Linked DNA regions of Oryzias latipes. The protein of the gene in region 2 interacts with the protein of the main gene of each other region in a biochemical or structural test. Links are inferred from orthologs where the notes say so. Each region holds a gene or a part of one and is shown on either strand. Other genes may lie near its edges.

Evidence for each region.
Region 1: the proteins of anapc11 (region 2) and ube2c form a complex in vitro, tested with the Homo sapiens proteins (66 studies listed by BioGRID). The link is inferred for Oryzias latipes from reciprocal best matches to the Homo sapiens genes ANAPC11 and UBE2C.
Region 3: of the proteins of anapc11 (region 2) and pttg1, one has a biochemical effect on the other in vitro, tested with the Homo sapiens proteins (3 studies listed by BioGRID). The link is inferred for Oryzias latipes from reciprocal best matches to the Homo sapiens genes ANAPC11 and PTTG1.
Region 4: the proteins of anapc11 (region 2) and ube2s form a complex in vitro, tested with the Homo sapiens proteins (31 studies listed by BioGRID). The link is inferred for Oryzias latipes from reciprocal best matches to the Homo sapiens genes ANAPC11 and UBE2S.

Annotation. Positions count from the first base shown.
Region 1 is NC_019863.2:18,098,173-18,102,533, reverse strand, and holds the start of ube2c (ubiquitin-conjugating enzyme E2 C), read right to left. Parts: upstream 2,836-4,361; 5' UTR 2,729-2,835; intron 2,235-2,728; 5' UTR 2,214-2,234; coding exon 2,107-2,213; intron 1,774-2,106; coding exon 1,746-1,773; intron 916-1,745; coding exon 829-915; intron 254-828; coding exon 49-253; intron 1-48. UniProt on the Homo sapiens protein: Accepts ubiquitin from the E1 complex and catalyzes its covalent attachment to other proteins. In vitro catalyzes 'Lys-11'- and 'Lys-48'-linked polyubiquitination.
Region 2 is NC_019859.2:4,486,140-4,490,258, reverse strand, and holds the start of anapc11 (anaphase-promoting complex subunit 11), read right to left. Parts: upstream 2,852-4,119; 5' UTR 2,587-2,851; coding exon 2,478-2,586; intron 214-2,477; coding exon 68-213; 3' UTR 1-67. UniProt on the Homo sapiens protein: Together with the cullin protein ANAPC2, constitutes the catalytic component of the anaphase promoting complex/cyclosome (APC/C), a cell cycle-regulated E3 ubiquitin ligase that controls progression through mitosis and the G1 phase of the cell cycle.
Region 3 is NC_019868.2:9,721,793-9,725,997, reverse strand, and holds pttg1 (securin), read right to left. Parts: upstream 2,824-4,205; 5' UTR 2,761-2,823; exon of another isoform or gene 2,654-2,760; intron 2,006-2,653; 5' UTR 2,001-2,005; coding exon 1,913-2,000; intron 1,828-1,912; coding exon 1,694-1,827; intron 1,603-1,693; coding exon 1,521-1,602; intron 1,089-1,520; coding exon 933-1,088; intron 307-932; coding exon 221-306; 3' UTR 160-220; downstream 1-159. Other genes in the region: sept6 (septin-6), read left to right, coding at 3,340-3,369. UniProt on the Homo sapiens protein: Regulatory protein, which plays a central role in chromosome stability, in the p53/TP53 pathway, and DNA repair. Probably acts by blocking the action of key proteins.
Region 4 is NC_019874.2:19,503,722-19,507,821, reverse strand, and holds the start of ube2s (ubiquitin-conjugating enzyme E2 S), read right to left. Parts: upstream 2,837-4,100; 5' UTR 2,638-2,836; coding exon 2,635-2,637; intron 1,710-2,634; coding exon 1,562-1,709; intron 479-1,561; coding exon 288-478; intron 208-287; coding exon 1-207. UniProt on the Homo sapiens protein: Accepts ubiquitin from the E1 complex and catalyzes its covalent attachment to other proteins. Catalyzes 'Lys-11'-linked polyubiquitination.

The DNA.
Region 1 (4,361 bases), on a different chromosome or scaffold from region 2:
GATGTTAACATCAGGACTCTGGAGAGAACAGACAGCTCCATGGATTACCTCCAAGCAGGCTCTGTATGGACAGCAGAATGGAGCGCACATCGTACAAGGCCGACCACTTGTCTTTCAGGATGTCCAGACAGATGAAACCCTGATCGTCCACGTTGGGGTGGAAACAAGGCGTGACAAATCTCACACGAGGAGCCTGGTAGGGGTAGCCTGCAGGAAAGTCGAAGGACAGCCGGTACCGGAGGCCCTCGTACACCTGACAGGAGAACCGGATCACACATTCATGCATAATGTGCAGCTCTCATCTCCTCACGTCACCTCAAATGTGGTGACAATCAAATTGTGCAGCACCCCTCTCTCCTCACCAACAGTTGTGTCTGGATTGCTTCACTATTCACTACACGATGGACTATATAGCGCCATCCCCATTCTGTAGAGCTGTGCGATTCTACAATTCTTAAATCTGGTGCTCGAAAAATTTCTCATAAGTCTAAGAAAAACCACTGTGCATCAATGCTCACTAGACTAGCGAATATAGACCACAATGTATTGTGTTTGAACAATTTTTCATGTATTTGAAGTAATGTTTTAAATAAACTTGTCGTTAATAGTCTTATAGTCTTTGTAAAATGTCCATATTTATTACATTTTTACTTCGGGAAATGTGTGATTTCATATTTGCCATTAAAAAAAAAAGAAAGTGAGTATAGAGACCAAATTTCTTTTACGGGTCCAGGGCACTACATGGTGCCACAGCCACACTATGCAGTTTTTTTTAGTAGTTGAGGAATACAGACAGCCAGTGGCACGAGCGTATGCGCCCATACGTACCGTCCCCTGCGCTCCATCAATGGTTCCAACCCATTTGAAGAGGTTATCCGACTCTGGAAACGCTGAAATGCCTTTATCCCCCGACATCTGCAGCAAAGGAGCAAAAGTTACACTAAAAGCTGCAAAAAATGAGCGCTCACCCTGCCGTTTTCCTGGACTTTAGTTACCGTAAAGGGATTCAAACTGATTCAGTGCCTCGGTTGGACTTCAAGTATTGTTCTTTGTGAATGCTTTAGATTATGAATTTATTTTATCCCTTTAAATAGTCTCAGAAGGCTTCATCATCACTTTTGTTTCCATTATGGATAAGACACACTGCCAAACTAGTAAGGGTGTAACGGTAGACGTAGTTGGACTGAACCGTTTCGGTAATTTCAGTCTGGACCACTTTTTTACCGTTTCGGTTTGTTTATTTTTGTTTGCATTTTATGGTTACACGAAGTGGCAGTTAATAGTTGTATTATTTTATGTAGCATATCACCTACATAGGTTAGTTTTATTATTGTTATATAAAACCAATAAATGCATTTTGCAAGAAATTTTTTTCTGCCTTTTTTGTACCGAAAAAAAATACAGAAAACAGATCAAAACGGGCCCTATGAAATTCTGAACCGAACCAAATTGAGCTACCCAGCTACAGAAAGGGAGGGCCACAGAGTGCAATGCATCAAAATATGTTTGTTTTGTTATTTAAATAATTAATCAAAACTCCTAAATTAGTCCCAAAATGTGTGAATGTATAGAGGGGTTTTCTTTGCCATAAATTCTAAGAAAAACATCAATCTGTGTAAAAAAAAATATCTATCCCTGAAATTAACAGCTTTGCATATCCTTTTATTATTTCAGACAATAGGATTTAAAAAAAATTGAAATCAACAGTGATAAAAGTCTATTTATAAATAAAAAGTTGAACTCACCATGAGAGTCATCAGCTCCTGCTGCAACCTGCAAACACACAACAGAAGCAGAGCTCCTCAGAAATCAGAAATAGTACAGCCGATAAGCGGACTGCTCTGATGTGGGCCAGGAAATGTGGCGTTGTGGACCTTCAACTTGACCAGCACTAAAACCACCAAACTGAGAGGCCAATGCAAAAGAGTAACCGCTAAATTAATCAGCATTTGACTGAATCATTCAGGGAAAACCAAAGCTGACTGATCTGTGATTGCATCAGCTGCTGGATCTCCATTTAGACAGAAACAACTTTTCAAGTCCAGGCTCATTCTTGATCTTGTTAGTCTGGTTTATTTTCACGTTCAGATGACGGTTGACACTCACCGCTTGGACACCGAGCCTTTGGTCATGTTGTTCTCGCTCTCGTTGCCCTTCAGAGCAGCTGCTGCAGAGGCTCCAGCTGCTGCAGGGTCCATGTTCTGGGAGGCCATGTGTGCCAATGATGGGCTCTCCTGGACACATGTACCAACAGGTCAGTCCACTTCACACACAATGACACAAACAGGATGAGGAACCTTCTGGTCTGATGGTGATACCATCATCATGAGAGCTCTGATGGAGACTGATCATCGAACCAAAACAACTATTATGGATGAATATGGCTATTTTTAGAAGAGGCAATAGGAGCTTCTTCAAAAGGAGCTCAGGCTGAAGAGGAGGTTCTTCAGATGCTGACATAAGGTCCATAGTGTCTCTGAGGAAGAACGTGAAGCTTCAGCATAAACGGATTGCGCTTCTGCTTTGGCTGTTGGCGCAGAGGTGGTCATTTAACGCAGCTGCGAACACGGAGGCCTCTCAGCCGCGCGGACAGCTCGTTTCTGTGGCTTTCCTAGTGTTTCTGTCGCCGTGACACCGATCCCTGCAGCCCGTGTACACCGACTACACTCGTGAAAACTATTACCCGGAAATAATAAACATTCCACATACATCTAGAAGTTCTGTTTACCTGCGAGGCTTACTGTAGATCCAATTTGAGTAGATCCGAACAGCTTTGATATCGCTCACTATCTGTTAATGGAAGCCTAACCCGCCCCGAGTTTTTAAATTGCATCAGCCAATCGGTGTCCGCCTTTCAAAAGCAAACAGAAAAATGCCAACCAATCACGAGTGAGTATGCTTTAGGAGGCGTGTTGTAATTGGTTCGAAATATACCGGAAATTAACACCCTGAGTACGACGTTTAGTGTTTACGTCAAGAGAAGAGAGAATTTCAAACGAAACGAAAATGAGTTTTGAAATGGGAATTTAAACAAACAAACAAAAACAAAACACGTTTTGATTTGAAATGTCTAATCTTGTGCAACAATCCAAATTTATATATTTTCAATGATTTTGTGTCTTTATTCAGGAAGAACTAGAAATGTTGCCCAATTTCCTTAGTTATACATTTTCCATGAAACTAATTAGTTCCTTTTAATACTAAGTCATATGACTGAAGGAATTTTGCATTAGTCGGTTATTTCCTTTCAAAAACCAGTTAAAATCAGATATTGTTATATGAAAAATATTAAATTTCCTTCCCTTAGGCCTAATTCAGAACTTATGTCCGCTGACAGAATCCAATTTTGTTCTCAGATCTGTACACTGCTGTGAGCCAATTTGAGATTCACATTTAAAACTAGAATGCTTTAGCACTCTCGTCCAATAAATTATTTGCTTTTTACTCAGTAAAAACCTCATGAACATATGATAAAGATGTGAACATTTTCTAATATTACTAAAACATAAATTCACTCGTGTAACTCCATTAGTCGGACTAGGATAAGCCTCGTTCCTCCTCCTCAGCATGTCTGCAGCTCTATTCTCCATCTTCATCTGTAGCCACCACGTGCAGCTGATGGCAGAACCGTCCATGATGAGCACAATTGTATCTAAGGAGAAATTCACCATAAGTAAAAAAAAGAAAGCGTAGTGATCAAAACATAATTAAGATCACCAGAACAGAAGGTGCCAAACTGGGAAAATAAGTTCATTACTGATACATGAACTGAACATGACATTTGAAAGATGCTTCAGTAACAGCTTCATTTAGGCGACAGCTTTTCTCTGAGAAGCAGCTGTTTCTGCGCACAAAATATATGATTGTTCATCTGCAAATCATTTCCTTGTATTGTAGAGAGAAATATGGCCAACGACCAATCAGTTACCTGTTAACATGGACTACATTATGCTATTTTAGAGCCATATCCCTCAGGCTTTGATCCATTTATCCATTTATCTCCTGTACTAACTGAATCCTTTTCGTGGTCACAGGGCTGCTGGAGCCAATCCAGCAACAATTGGGCAAAGGTGGGGTACACCCTGAACAGGTCCCCATTCTGTTGTAGAGCCATACACTCGCATGCACACCTAAGGGACAATTTAAAATACTGGTAATCAATTGACCTACAAAGCATGTTTTTAGACTGTGGGAGGAAGCCAGAGTGCCTGGAGAAAACCCATGCATTTATAAAGAGAACAAACCCCACCTAAATTGACCCCAGGCAGGATTTGAACCAGGGCCATCTTGCTGTACGGCCACTGCTCTACAATGCAGCTCCCTTAGGCTTTCAACTAAAATACAATTTTTTTAAAATTTCA
Region 2 (4,119 bases):
CTTGTCATTGTCCGCCCAGGTTTTGTGTCGGGAACAGTTATTTGTTGTTGTTCTGAACCGTGACACGTCACTCTTTGAACTTCCACTCCTGGCGACACATGGGACACTGCTGCTGCACCTGCTGGGAGTTCAGCCACTTCAGGATGCAGTGCATGTGGAAGCAGTGGGAGCACTGACCCCACACCAGCGGGCAGTCGTCTCCGGGAACCTTACCTGCAGATGAGGAGAAGCATGGCTTAACTCGAGCTGGGGTGTGCTGATGGACACGAAGTCAAAGTTATATGGGGCATGTTACATCACCAATTTATAAATAAGAATCCGAACTCCTGTAAGTGATGGTGTTGATCTCCACATCATGACCGACTGACTTCATCCTCAACAATAAACGTGTCATGAATCTGTTTATGGGAATCTCTTTTGATAAATGAATGTTTACAGCTGATTTTCTTAAGTCTGCAGATATTTACTGCAGATAAATACAATAAGATAAATATATTTTATCTTATTGTATTTATTTTATATGGACACATTACTGAACATATGTCCAGAGACTAAAAGATGTAATTATGTCCAATTTTAGCCATGATGCTATTTCACATCTGCTGTCCCTAAACAGGATGAAACGAGAACATTTGATTGATTAAATGATTGAATACAATAAAAACAACTACCAACACACATGTATATATCAAACCCATTTCAGATATAGTAATACATTGATTAGAAAATAAAGAATAAAATGAACAGTGATGACAAGACAATGCTGGCTGCTTTAGTCTAATTATTCATAATCAAAGAGACTTTTTCGCAGTAATGCATACAATACACACAAATCACATTTGATTCATTTAGTATAATGATAATTTAAAGTCATGCACAATTTGATTTGCTGCCTAAAGGTGAGCTCATTTATTTTATACAATCCCCCCCCCTAATGAATTGTTTCTTTTTATATATTTCTTTTGCATTGTTGCCATAATCCAGTTCTTATTGATGAGACAATAATTCACAAAAATAGCAAATCACAGTCATCTAGTTAAAATCAGGACTTTAATTACATCCATCCATCCATCTTTGATTGGGATGAAATACATCCCATCTGTAGCGAAGAGGCAATTTAATTAACTAATCAACTTCATTTATTAACCGACCCACCTAGAGGAAAACAGCATTTCTGCAGGTGGTCCTGTTATTTTCCCTTTAATTATGTATCATAACGGCTACATTGCATTGTACTTGTGACAATGGCAAACACAAGACTAAGTAGAATGTTCGCGCATGCGTAGTCACATCTCTGATTCTCAAATATTAGTTAAGTCGTAATATTTAATAAGGAGGGGCAGCTGTTAAACTATAACGAATTCCTATCACAGTATAATTTACCTATTACTTTACAAGAGTTTTCAATGGTGCAGAAGGCTATCCCCTCAGGAATAGTAATGTTATTTAAGAACACTGATAATTTGATACCTAATCAAAATACAATATCCAATGCGGATGAGTCACCGGTAGGAAAAATATGCTTCTCATATGGGCGTACTACTAATATAAAAATACGCAGATTATTTCAAAAGATTTATACCGCTCCCCCGTATATTTTAAATTATTGGAATCAATTTGTTCCAGATATCAACTGGAAAGCAGTCTGGACGATCCCTCATAAGTATTTAATAATAAATAAGGTAAAAGAAGTATCCTTTAAAATTCTCCATAAAATTTACCCTGCCAAACATTATATGATAAAATTTAAAAAAGATATTAATACTGATTGTAGTTTCTGTGGAGATCACCCAGAAACAGTAATTCATCTTTTCTGGCACTGTTTGTCCACACGGAGATTTTGGAAGGAGTTCAGTAGATTCATCATTATTCATGTCTTCAAAGATTTCTCCTTGAAATGGGAAAATGTATTACTTTGTTTTTTCAGGACCCCCAAAAAACAAAAGATATTTTTTATAATTAATTTATTAATTCTTCTGGCAAAATTCTACATACATAAATGTAAATTTACTAATAAAACACCATACTTCCCACAATTCATTAAAGATGTAACTTTTTACATAAAATCAATATCCTTTTCCTCCAACAAAAAAGCTCTCAGAACTATTGAAATTTGTAACTCTCTGCAAATATTTAATGAATCGACTCCCCTGGCTGTTTAACATTGTTTGTGTTGTATATTGATTGTATGTTGTATACTGCATTGATTGTTCTTTATGTTGTATACTTGCATTTGTTCAATAAAGTTATATAAAAAAAATTGTTAAGTCGTAAGTAGTTTGTTAGGTAATACAGACAGAGTAAATGTGAAATTACAAGGTTTTCTATCAAATACGGTTTTAAACGCCATTACGGCTCAATTGCCTTTATGCTACGAGGAAACATAAACATCACAAAGATTTCTTTAAACCGATGGTGGGATTTCTACTTCTTTCTTCACAGGAATTAAACATCTGCACGCGGGCGCGTTAACTCACAGTCTGGACAGCAGCCGTTGAAGGGCATCCTGCAGATGCCGCAGTTTTCATCGTTGGCCACCCACAACCAGGACGCAACTCCGTTCCACTGCTTGATCTTCACCTTCATCCTCAGCGAGAGACGGATCAGGGAAACCCACGGAGCTCAGCGGCAAACGGGACACGCAAGCTAGGCTAGCCTATGTCGACCCGGCGGAGCCTGAAGCGACCTGCTCTGTTTAACACTGCTCGCTTAACGAAGGAACAACAGTTGGGGTGTAATTTAAGTGTTTGACAATATTTTAAAAGGTACTGTTCGTTAGAACTAAGCCATGTAAAACAGTGTAAAACAACGCAAAAATATGCTGCCGTTCTTTCAAACAGCGGTGCAACTTTCTTCTTCCGGTGTCATCACATTTGGTTTATAACTGCGTTGGATTTTAAATGTCGCCCTCTATCGGTGACAAATGGTAAGAAACTGATCACTTCTTCTAATTCTTGCAAAAATAAAATAAAATAGGATAAACAATGGGGGGAAAAACGAATCTATTTAAAATTTAGATAATTTAAATGAGAATTTAAATGCATTAAAAACGTGGACCCTATTTGAAAATACAATATGAATAATTGGTGATGCCCTTTGTGCTCCCCTCCTTTTTAGTTTGTGTTTTAAATGGTAATGCTTTGTAATTTAGTTTTTCCTATTATTTATTTATTTTTTATTATTATTTTTTGCTGTGTTCCTTTGAGCCATTTGTTTAAATGTGTCTGATTCTCTTTTGTTAATAAACGCTAAATAACTTTAACTTTTAAGGGAAAAGCGATTTGTAGTAACTATAAGATAGAAAAGACACATAAGATCTAACAACACAGCTTCACAACCCAGACACAGTCACATAAAATAACTATGATGGCTTCAATTCAATTCTGACGAGACTGACAGTGAAACATCAAGGTGGCAAATAAACGTTTAAACAGATACGCACACTCCTTGCTTTTAAACAACAAATATTTTGAAAAAATTGAAATTAAGAAATCAAAATGTATACATGTGCAGAATCACTGGTGTTTCTGAAGTCTTTCCCAGCTTCTTCAGAACAAAGGCAAAGATTATAGTCTGCCAGTTAAATTCAGAGTCACCAATTAGTCCATGAGGCTTGTTTATGGACTATTTGAGGAAGCCAGAGTTCATTAAAAACCCACAAAACACCAGGAGAATTTGCAATTTAGGAAAGAACCAGAACTTTTTGGCCGTGTTGACAATTATTATTTTAATAATAATAAATATAATAAGAATTATTATTCTTATTATTATTACATTTATTACGGAATCAAGTTCCAAATGTCAACACCATAAAAACCAGAAGACTTGCATTGAGTATCATTTAAAAGCAAAAACAGCTCATTCTTCAAAATGTGAGGGCTTAGACATGAATTAGACATGGTACAAATAGAACCCCCCCCCCCCCCCCAAATGTAATTTGTGACAATAATAAAAATAATAAATTTAAATATTTGGAATTATTTAAATTTTCGAGGTTTTGTTATTCTATAATTATTTTATTTGATTTTTTTTCTATAATTATTTTAAGGAGTCATTTATATGTAATATAAATAACCATTGACCATCCCTGGATTTCAGTCTTACACACCTTGTGGAATA
Region 3 (4,205 bases), on a different chromosome or scaffold from region 2:
GGGAACTGAAAAAGTTCATTCTAATGAAGCAGATCCTCTTCAGAAGACTCCCAACACGTGACCACAGCTGGAGTTTAAAGCAGGAAGTAGTTCAGGTTCACTCCCCTGACACTTTTGCAGCCATTCCATCACACACACACACACACTCTGGACCACAGATGTTGCCAAGAAAACTTTATTTCAACACAAATAATAAAAACAGCCATTTAACAAACAGGCATCAGCAGTCAGTAAGCGGTTCTGGGGGGAATTCAACAGTCAGCTCTTCAAGGGTTTGTAGGAAGGCATCCAGCTCCAAGCTGTGATCTAAAAAGGAAAATGAAGAGGAGTTTATGAAGGCTTTCCTGCCAACAGGCACACTTTCCAACAATAACAGCCATAACAAGTGGCATTTGTTGGAAGTCACATGATTCAGTTAATGAGTAACCTACAGGTCTGATCATAGTTTGAACTGTTCAACACTAAAAGGATTAACAGGTAACAGGGAACAGCATTGTAGTTTAGGGGGAAAGCTTTCCTATTACGTTACAGTTTGGGATCATTCGACAAGAATCCAGTCTGTGTTTCCCCAAGGGCACTGAGGAGCCAAACAGGTTCTTTGCAACAGAGCTGAGTAAATGAAAATTCAAACTAGTTTATTTTGTATCCCCAAAAGAAAAGAGAAAAAAAACGAACATGTTGACTCCAAAGTTACTAGATCTGTGTACAAATGGTTTGAAGTTTTTTGTTTTAACAGTAAAGCAAACCTCAAAGTTAAAATATTTTCTGTCTAATTTTGAAAAACATGACACGATTACTTTTTCCTAGTATTTATTACTTATTTAAAGCACCATGTGGCGTTCTGTTGCATTTCCCTTTGTTGCAACAGAGTGATTTCCTCTGTAAGCTCCTGAAAATAGGAGATTTATCAGACGTATAAAGGAGAACCATACCTGGAAATCTGCACCCTTTTGCAGGTGAAGGGTCTGGGAGAGGCTGAATCTTTTCCAGGTCTTCCTCAAGAAGAGGCGAGGTAAAACAGGCCAATCCGGGTAGAGCCAGGCCACTGAAAGGAATGAAGTCCTCGGGTATGCTGTACTTCTCAAACTCTGAAAATATGAAGAAACTCAGGAATGGGTGAAAAATTTCCCAGACTGTGAATAAGCCCCTTTAAAACCAAAGAAGTCAGAAAAGACACAGCCACACATGGGAGCCGTTTAACACAGTGGACACTACCACAAGGCCACTGAGCCACTTCCAATTCTTTCACATCATTACATTTTGTTGCTTTTACTTGAACAACCACCACTCATGAGCAGAAAGACGCTGTGCCCGTTGATTATGCTCAGTGATAAGAGTGGATATTGTAAACATGGTGGCTATGAAATGATGTGACATTAGCAGTAAAGACTTTCAGATGGCATACAGCTGCAGCACGACCAGCGGAAATGTGGAACTACTAAACATCTTGGTTTAAAAAAAAAAAAAAAAAACCTCTTAAAAGCATAATTTGCCTGCAAACCAAACAAACATGACATTACCTAGAGGGTTGTAAGGAATAAAATTTTCCATTTTTGGGTATTCCTCCCCTTTGGCTTCAGAAGGATGCTCGACCTTGACTTCCTATTGAGAAGAAGGGCAATATGGACACACAGAAACAACAGAATAGCCTTTTGCTGAAATAAATCCATTTGTCATTAGTGTTTATTTTTACCTGTGGTTTTAAAACTTTTTTCTCTTGTGTACTCAAAGAAGGGGTTAAGATCTTTTTGTTCACCACCCCAAAAGCCTTACGCGCTGAATGGACAGGGGTATTTTTGACCAACATTGGAGACTTCAACTGTTTTTCTGGTTATAGAGAGCGAGAATAAAAAGGAGGATCATGCAGAGTTCCACAAAGATAATCTGAAACAGTTGAACATGTTTTTAATACCTGGAGCAGACAGAAGCCTCTGACGCATTTTCAGGGAAGAGGGACGGAGGCAAACATTCTCCTGTTCGGTGAAGATGACATTTGCCATCTTGGCTAAAAGGTAAAAAAAGAAAAACATTTGGTTTCAAAAAACTTTCAATTACTTTAAATGGGGTTTTATATACACAAATTCATAAAAATATAACTTAATTTATTGAAAGAAAAGGGGGAAAAAAAAGGTGCACTTTGAAATTCATAAGTAGACTAACAGAGTTGGCTATTCTCATTTTGTTTCCCCACAATTCAGGCATTTTGAGGTTCAATTACGGATTTATTTATTTTTTTTTTACATCAAAAAGGCTTTCTGCTAATTGGTGCTGATGTTTAGCATTAAGAAGAAGATTATGTATTGTCAGGCCCAAAACTAAACTAAGCTAAAGTAGACATTTTGTTTTCATCTAACAACTATGCAATTATTTACAAAATAATGGATACATTTCCCATTTGGAAAATGATTAAGTTCAGAATAATTTAGTTCAGACAACAAATATTTATTTACATTTACTGACAATAATGTAAACAGCAGAGATTTGTCCAATGCTACATTATTGTTAGCGGTTAACTTTGTTTGTCATGCAACGTTACGTACGGTTTAAAAATTATCGTTAGCAGTTTGTCGTGCAACGTACGGTTTAAAAAAAATTGCCCATTTACGTAAAATCTTGGAATGATAAACCAACGGTTACTTTCACGTCTATTTACCTTAGTGTTAGTAACCTCAAAGAACAATAGTTCTTGGTCTCAATCCGAAGGCTTTATCGTCTTTATCCTGCTTTTTGTTTTTTATCTAGCTACAACAGCTTCCGCACCTTTGTTTTTAAATCCGTTCACTTCATTCCATTGGTCGTTGTAGCCCTCGTGACTGTCGTTGGGCAGTGATTATGATTGGTCGTTGTACCCCACGTGACTGGCATGAATTAATTTCACCCGTGTCTCATTTCAAAGCGTTGTATGAACAGAATTGGGCATATTATCGAAAAAAAATAATCATTTAGTCAATACCAAACTAACAAAAATTGCCCATATTCATAAACTGGATAATTATTCATGCTAATTATTCCCCTTTTATTTTATTTTTTTATTGCTTGCTGACTTCCATTTACTAGCGTTCTATCGGACGAAACCATGTCTGCACCATCTTTCTTTATCTTATGTGTTTATTTTTCTATAAATAAATCCGTCTTAAAGATAAACTGCAGTTATATGTCTTTTTTTCCCTAGTACCTATTGTTGTAATCAAGACGCAAAAGCAAAGCTACGTGTTCTCTACATGATTAACTCCGTAGATTCAATGGTACATTCCAAACAGGCCATCTTTCTGAGGAACGTTAACTGTTCAGCAGGGCTGCTGAAAGAGGACAGTTGAGGGAGAGCTAACAGAAAGCATCATGGCTTCGACCGAGATAGCAAGGCAAGCTGTAAGTCTTCTGTTTTACTTTTAAACGCATCCATCAGCCTAAATATGAATTAGTTTTACGTTTAATGTGCGTCAAGGATATGTTAGATGGAATTAGGTGTTAATAAGGAACTCCCCGCATTTTTTGTGCCTTTCAGAAATTCGCGGCATCATAGCTAAACCAGTGTAATGTCACTGTATTGACCAAAACACCCCAAATATGCTTTGGATATTCATTTAGAGCTGTGCCTTTGTAAAATTGTAGATAGGAGTACCTGGTCTTAGCTTTTGTATTGTATTCTTAATCGAGAACAACGCCTTTATCTCCATGCTGGTTACAGCTAGCTTAATTATCTCATTAACGAAACTGCGCCTGGTAGAATTATTAGTTTTTCATTGCCGTCGTAACAAAAATGTCGTATATTTAAAAGGTTTAATCAATACAAATCCCCCCGTAGGCCATTCATTCTGAACGCCCCCATTTCAGCTCAGCTTCAGTGTTCATTTCCGTTCTGTTCTGTCATGTAAATCCCGTTAACTTTCAACGGGCGTTGTCTAAAAGTAAACAATATTTCTTGGTTACTATTACTTAGTAGTAATGCATATAAACAAGCGGTTTTAAAGCTATGCTAGGACAAAGTGTGCTGCTCTTTTTTTTAAGGGAGAAAGGAAACCACTTAGTCCAGAGGGAGTGCTTAGAATAGCAAGGTTGTCCAGTTTTATATCCCTTTGTGGCTCCAATGAATGAAGCAGATTATGTTGAGAGAAGATGCCTGCGATTTATAAAGTGTTTAGTCTCTCATTTCCTTCACACCTTCAGCTATTTGACCCCAATTCAGCCCCTTTAAAACAATCTGC
Region 4 (4,100 bases), on a different chromosome or scaffold from region 2:
TCTCTTTGTAGGGTCGCCCGCGTGCTTTTTTGGCTGAGGGCCGTCATTCGGATCCTGAGGTGCCCCCGACGTACCGCCCATAGCGTGGATTTCTGTGAGGAGGCGGGCTCGGGACTCGTACTCTGCATAGTCCTCCAACAACAAGCGCCCGGCCTCCTCGTTCAGAGCCGACTCCGGGTTTGGATGGATTAGAAGACACTTGATGGTCTGCCGTCACAAAGAGAAAATCGTTGACGGACCACATACATCACACTCAGGGGAAAGATAGCCGATGGTGGAACTCTTACAAGTAAGATGTGTCTGAGCCCGAGCTCTGCCTTCCAGTCCCTCTTCAGCACATTCACACAGATTTCTCCTTTGTGGCCGACGTTGGGATGAAAAATCTTGGTCAAGAAATACCCCTTGGGTGGAACAGCAGGGAAGTCCTTCCCGAGGACCAGACGCATTCGGAAAATGCCACCAGCAAATGGAGTTCCCTCTGTCAAAGTATAAAGAATTCATAGCATGAACAGTATGTCTTAACTGCGGATACACAGACTGAATTTTTTTCAAGCTGAATCAAATCTCTAACTTTGAAATCATAGACGTGCTAAACATCAAAATTCTTTAAAATGACAGGCTTTTGCACATCAGTCCTTGATAAATCTGCACTATTTTTGCAATTGAGCACGGCTAAACATGCCAAAGAACTGGAACCGTTCTTCATCCACGTCTGCTCAGCTCTAAAGGAGAACAAAATAAAAAAGCTAAATGGTTACGTTTTGAAGCTGGATTATGCTTAAAATATGCCCAGCATATTAAGACGCACTTCCTCTCTCACAAAATACAAACAATTCACAAACATCCTTGCCTCACTGTCTTCACGGTTTACTTTGGATAGCTGAACTCTTACAATAGCACACAGCTCTTTTAAATAAAAAAATAACAAGAATAACCCAAAGGGTTCATACAACTTTGGATTTTATAGTTATTATTTGTGGTTACCTTCACGAAGTAATGTGTAGCCTCAGCCTCAAGATGGCAATCATGCGCTAAACTGTTTGGCATTTAAAAACGGATTTTGAATTATATATTTCTTCTAATGCATGAACTGAACTGCATGCCAATATTATGGGGATAAACCTTTAACAATAGCAACAATTTTTAAAAATTGTTCAAAAAAGCTGTGAGTTATAGCTCTTTGTTTAAACGATTACAATCTTTATTTGGAATGTTGAATTTTTGAAACTCCTACGACTTGCATCGTTATCACTTTTTAAGAATTTCCATTCAACATAAGCTTAAAAGCCCCTGATAAAAATAGATGCATCAACAATGCAATCCGTCCAATTTAAATCAGTTCTTCCTTCAGAAATGAGCTATATCTATCCACAAGTCCAAGAAAAAGATGGCAAAAGGCTCATTTCAAAATGAAATCTATAATTAAATGCAGAATGTGCAGTACAAGACATGACATTTTTAATAACGTAAAATGCTGTAGTCCTTTCCTATTTTAGGAAATACTGCCTAAAAATGGCAAATCTAGTTTAAGCTTTCCATGGAGCCTCACTAAAATCCTTACCTGGTCCTTCAATGGATGTGTGGAGTTCAGTTATGTCTTCCTCACTAGGATAAATCTTTATACCTTCAGGTGGATCTGCTGCTAAAGCTGATACCTCTTTGTAGACCAAGCGCAGAACATGAGGGGGCAAATTCTCAACATTTGAGTTCTATGGGAAAACAGAACAGGGCACATAAATGGGCATTTAAATGTGTAAAAAGCTTTGGAAATGAAACCGATTTGATAACGAGAGAAAAATACAAAGAAATCACTAAAAATATAACTTAAAATTAAACAAGATACAAAGAATTTTCATCAATCTCGTTTAGTCTGATTCTTCAATAAAATATAAAGATAATAAAATGAGATAATTTAGAAAAGATAAATCCAAGCAAGCCATTGTCGGAAAATATAAATTGCTGACCACATGAGAATGTACTTAAGGATGTCACATCTGCAACACCTAAGAAGCAGCAATAAAAATGCACTTCTATTTAAACTGCACGTTCAATTGATAAAAAAAATCCTGCATTATATAAAAGTTATCATTTATTTATGTTGATTTAATACAGCTGGATGCTACTGTGCCATTTATGCTAGATTTTCAGTTAGAAATTTGCATTGCTGGGGGTCAGGAGGATATTCAAACGAATGCTATGCTGCTAGAACAAAAATACAACATTGAGTTTCAAAGTTTTTGTCGCCAAGCTTAAAGAAAAGAAGAAAAAAAGTTTTACTGTAGGTAATATAAAGGCACATTAAATCAAGGTACGATCGTATCATGACTGATAAAATATAAAATTGCAACTCTTACTAATTATTATACAGAAATAAGGAGATAACTTTACGTTAACGGTTAGCAAGAGGTAATGCCTCGAACTTAGCGTTGATTAAAGGCTGTAAAAACGCGATCATTACGCTAAAAGTACTCCGTACTATTTTTAAAATCATGTTTTGGTTCCGCGAATAAAAAACAACTTTTAAAAAAGAAAGAAAATCAACCACAACCAGGGTGTTTTTGACGATCTAACACCGGAGCAAGCTAGCAAAAACTCCCCTTAGCTGTTAGCAATACGCTCGGTCATCTGTCTTACCATCTTCGAAAATGAGATCTTTTTGGTGAATGGTTGTTTACTGGAATGGGATAAAACGAAGCTTTTTCTGCTACTATTTGAGAAAAAGTATTTTGTAGAAACTTAATCACAAAAAAAACCCTGATTACTGTCCTTTTCGCTTTAACGTTGACACAGGAACAAAAATACGATCCTCGATTTAACCTGCTGATATTAACCAATAGCCGTCTTAGCAAGTTGACGCGTATGAAGTTCCTAACCAATCACAATCTAGATTTTCTATTACGTCATGATAGAAAAAATATATAAGCCAATCAGAGTGTAAAGAGAGCTGATGCTGGTGAGCCATAGGCCCGTTTGAAAAACTCAAACTACCGATCGATACTGACAGGAAATAAACCACAATCAAGAATATCGGGTATATTAGATTAGCTAATATAATTCAATCAATAGCAGTGAGCATTTTTATAACGTGAAAAATACATTTAAAACAAATATTCCTAATTATATTTTAATATAATTGTTTAAGCAAATAAGTGAGCTGTATTTCTGAAGCACCTTTTTATGCATTTTCTAAACACTCCCTGTGGCGGTTGTTGGAGTCTATTCTAACTACCCCCAGGTGTGGTACACCCTGGACTGTCTGAGCCACACAACCACATACACTCACATTCATTACTTTTAACCTTTCCTAAACAAATGCATGTTAGCTTTTTTATAAAAGGACACAACAGAGTCAATCAGGGACACTGACAGGATAAGGGCATTCAATAAACATGGTGCCTCAACCTGAGGACAGCTTTCCTGGTTTTGGAGCAGGATTTTGGACTAACAAAAAAAATTGTAGGCCAATAATAATATTAAATGACTGTCCATCATACAAATACCAATAATTTAGTGGTGTGTCCTAAATATCTATGAACATAAAAACAAACCCCGCAACTATCAGACAATAGAACGCTATTTTAGCATTGCTGTGATCTAATGCTTGTTTTTGCACAATTTGATTTTGAAACATTGTACTCAAAACTGGCTTATGTTCTGTGAGAAATCTTTAAAAAATGTTATGCAGGTCTTTGTACATCTCAAAGTTTCCTGTGCATTTATGAAGGAAGAAACAGCGCCAAATGCAAAATAGCACACAAACAGATAACCCAATAGTGTCCTCAGGACCTCTTGTGCAAAAATCAAACATATAACTGGGAATGGTAACCAATTTGGACACAACATTGATAGAGACAATGTAGATAAAACAGGGTTTTTTTTTAATCTCAAAAGGAAGGTAGGAGAGGATAAGAAGGTCTTTTTATTACCATTCTACAAAGCTCAACAGAAATCACTGTAAATGAGACAACAGACATAACTTTAAAAAAAATCAGAACATGATACACTAACATTCAACAATTTTGACAAAGAACAACTTCAGTTCTAAATTCAACACATAACATACATTAAAAGATTTGTAAAAGGTTCAGAATAGCAACATC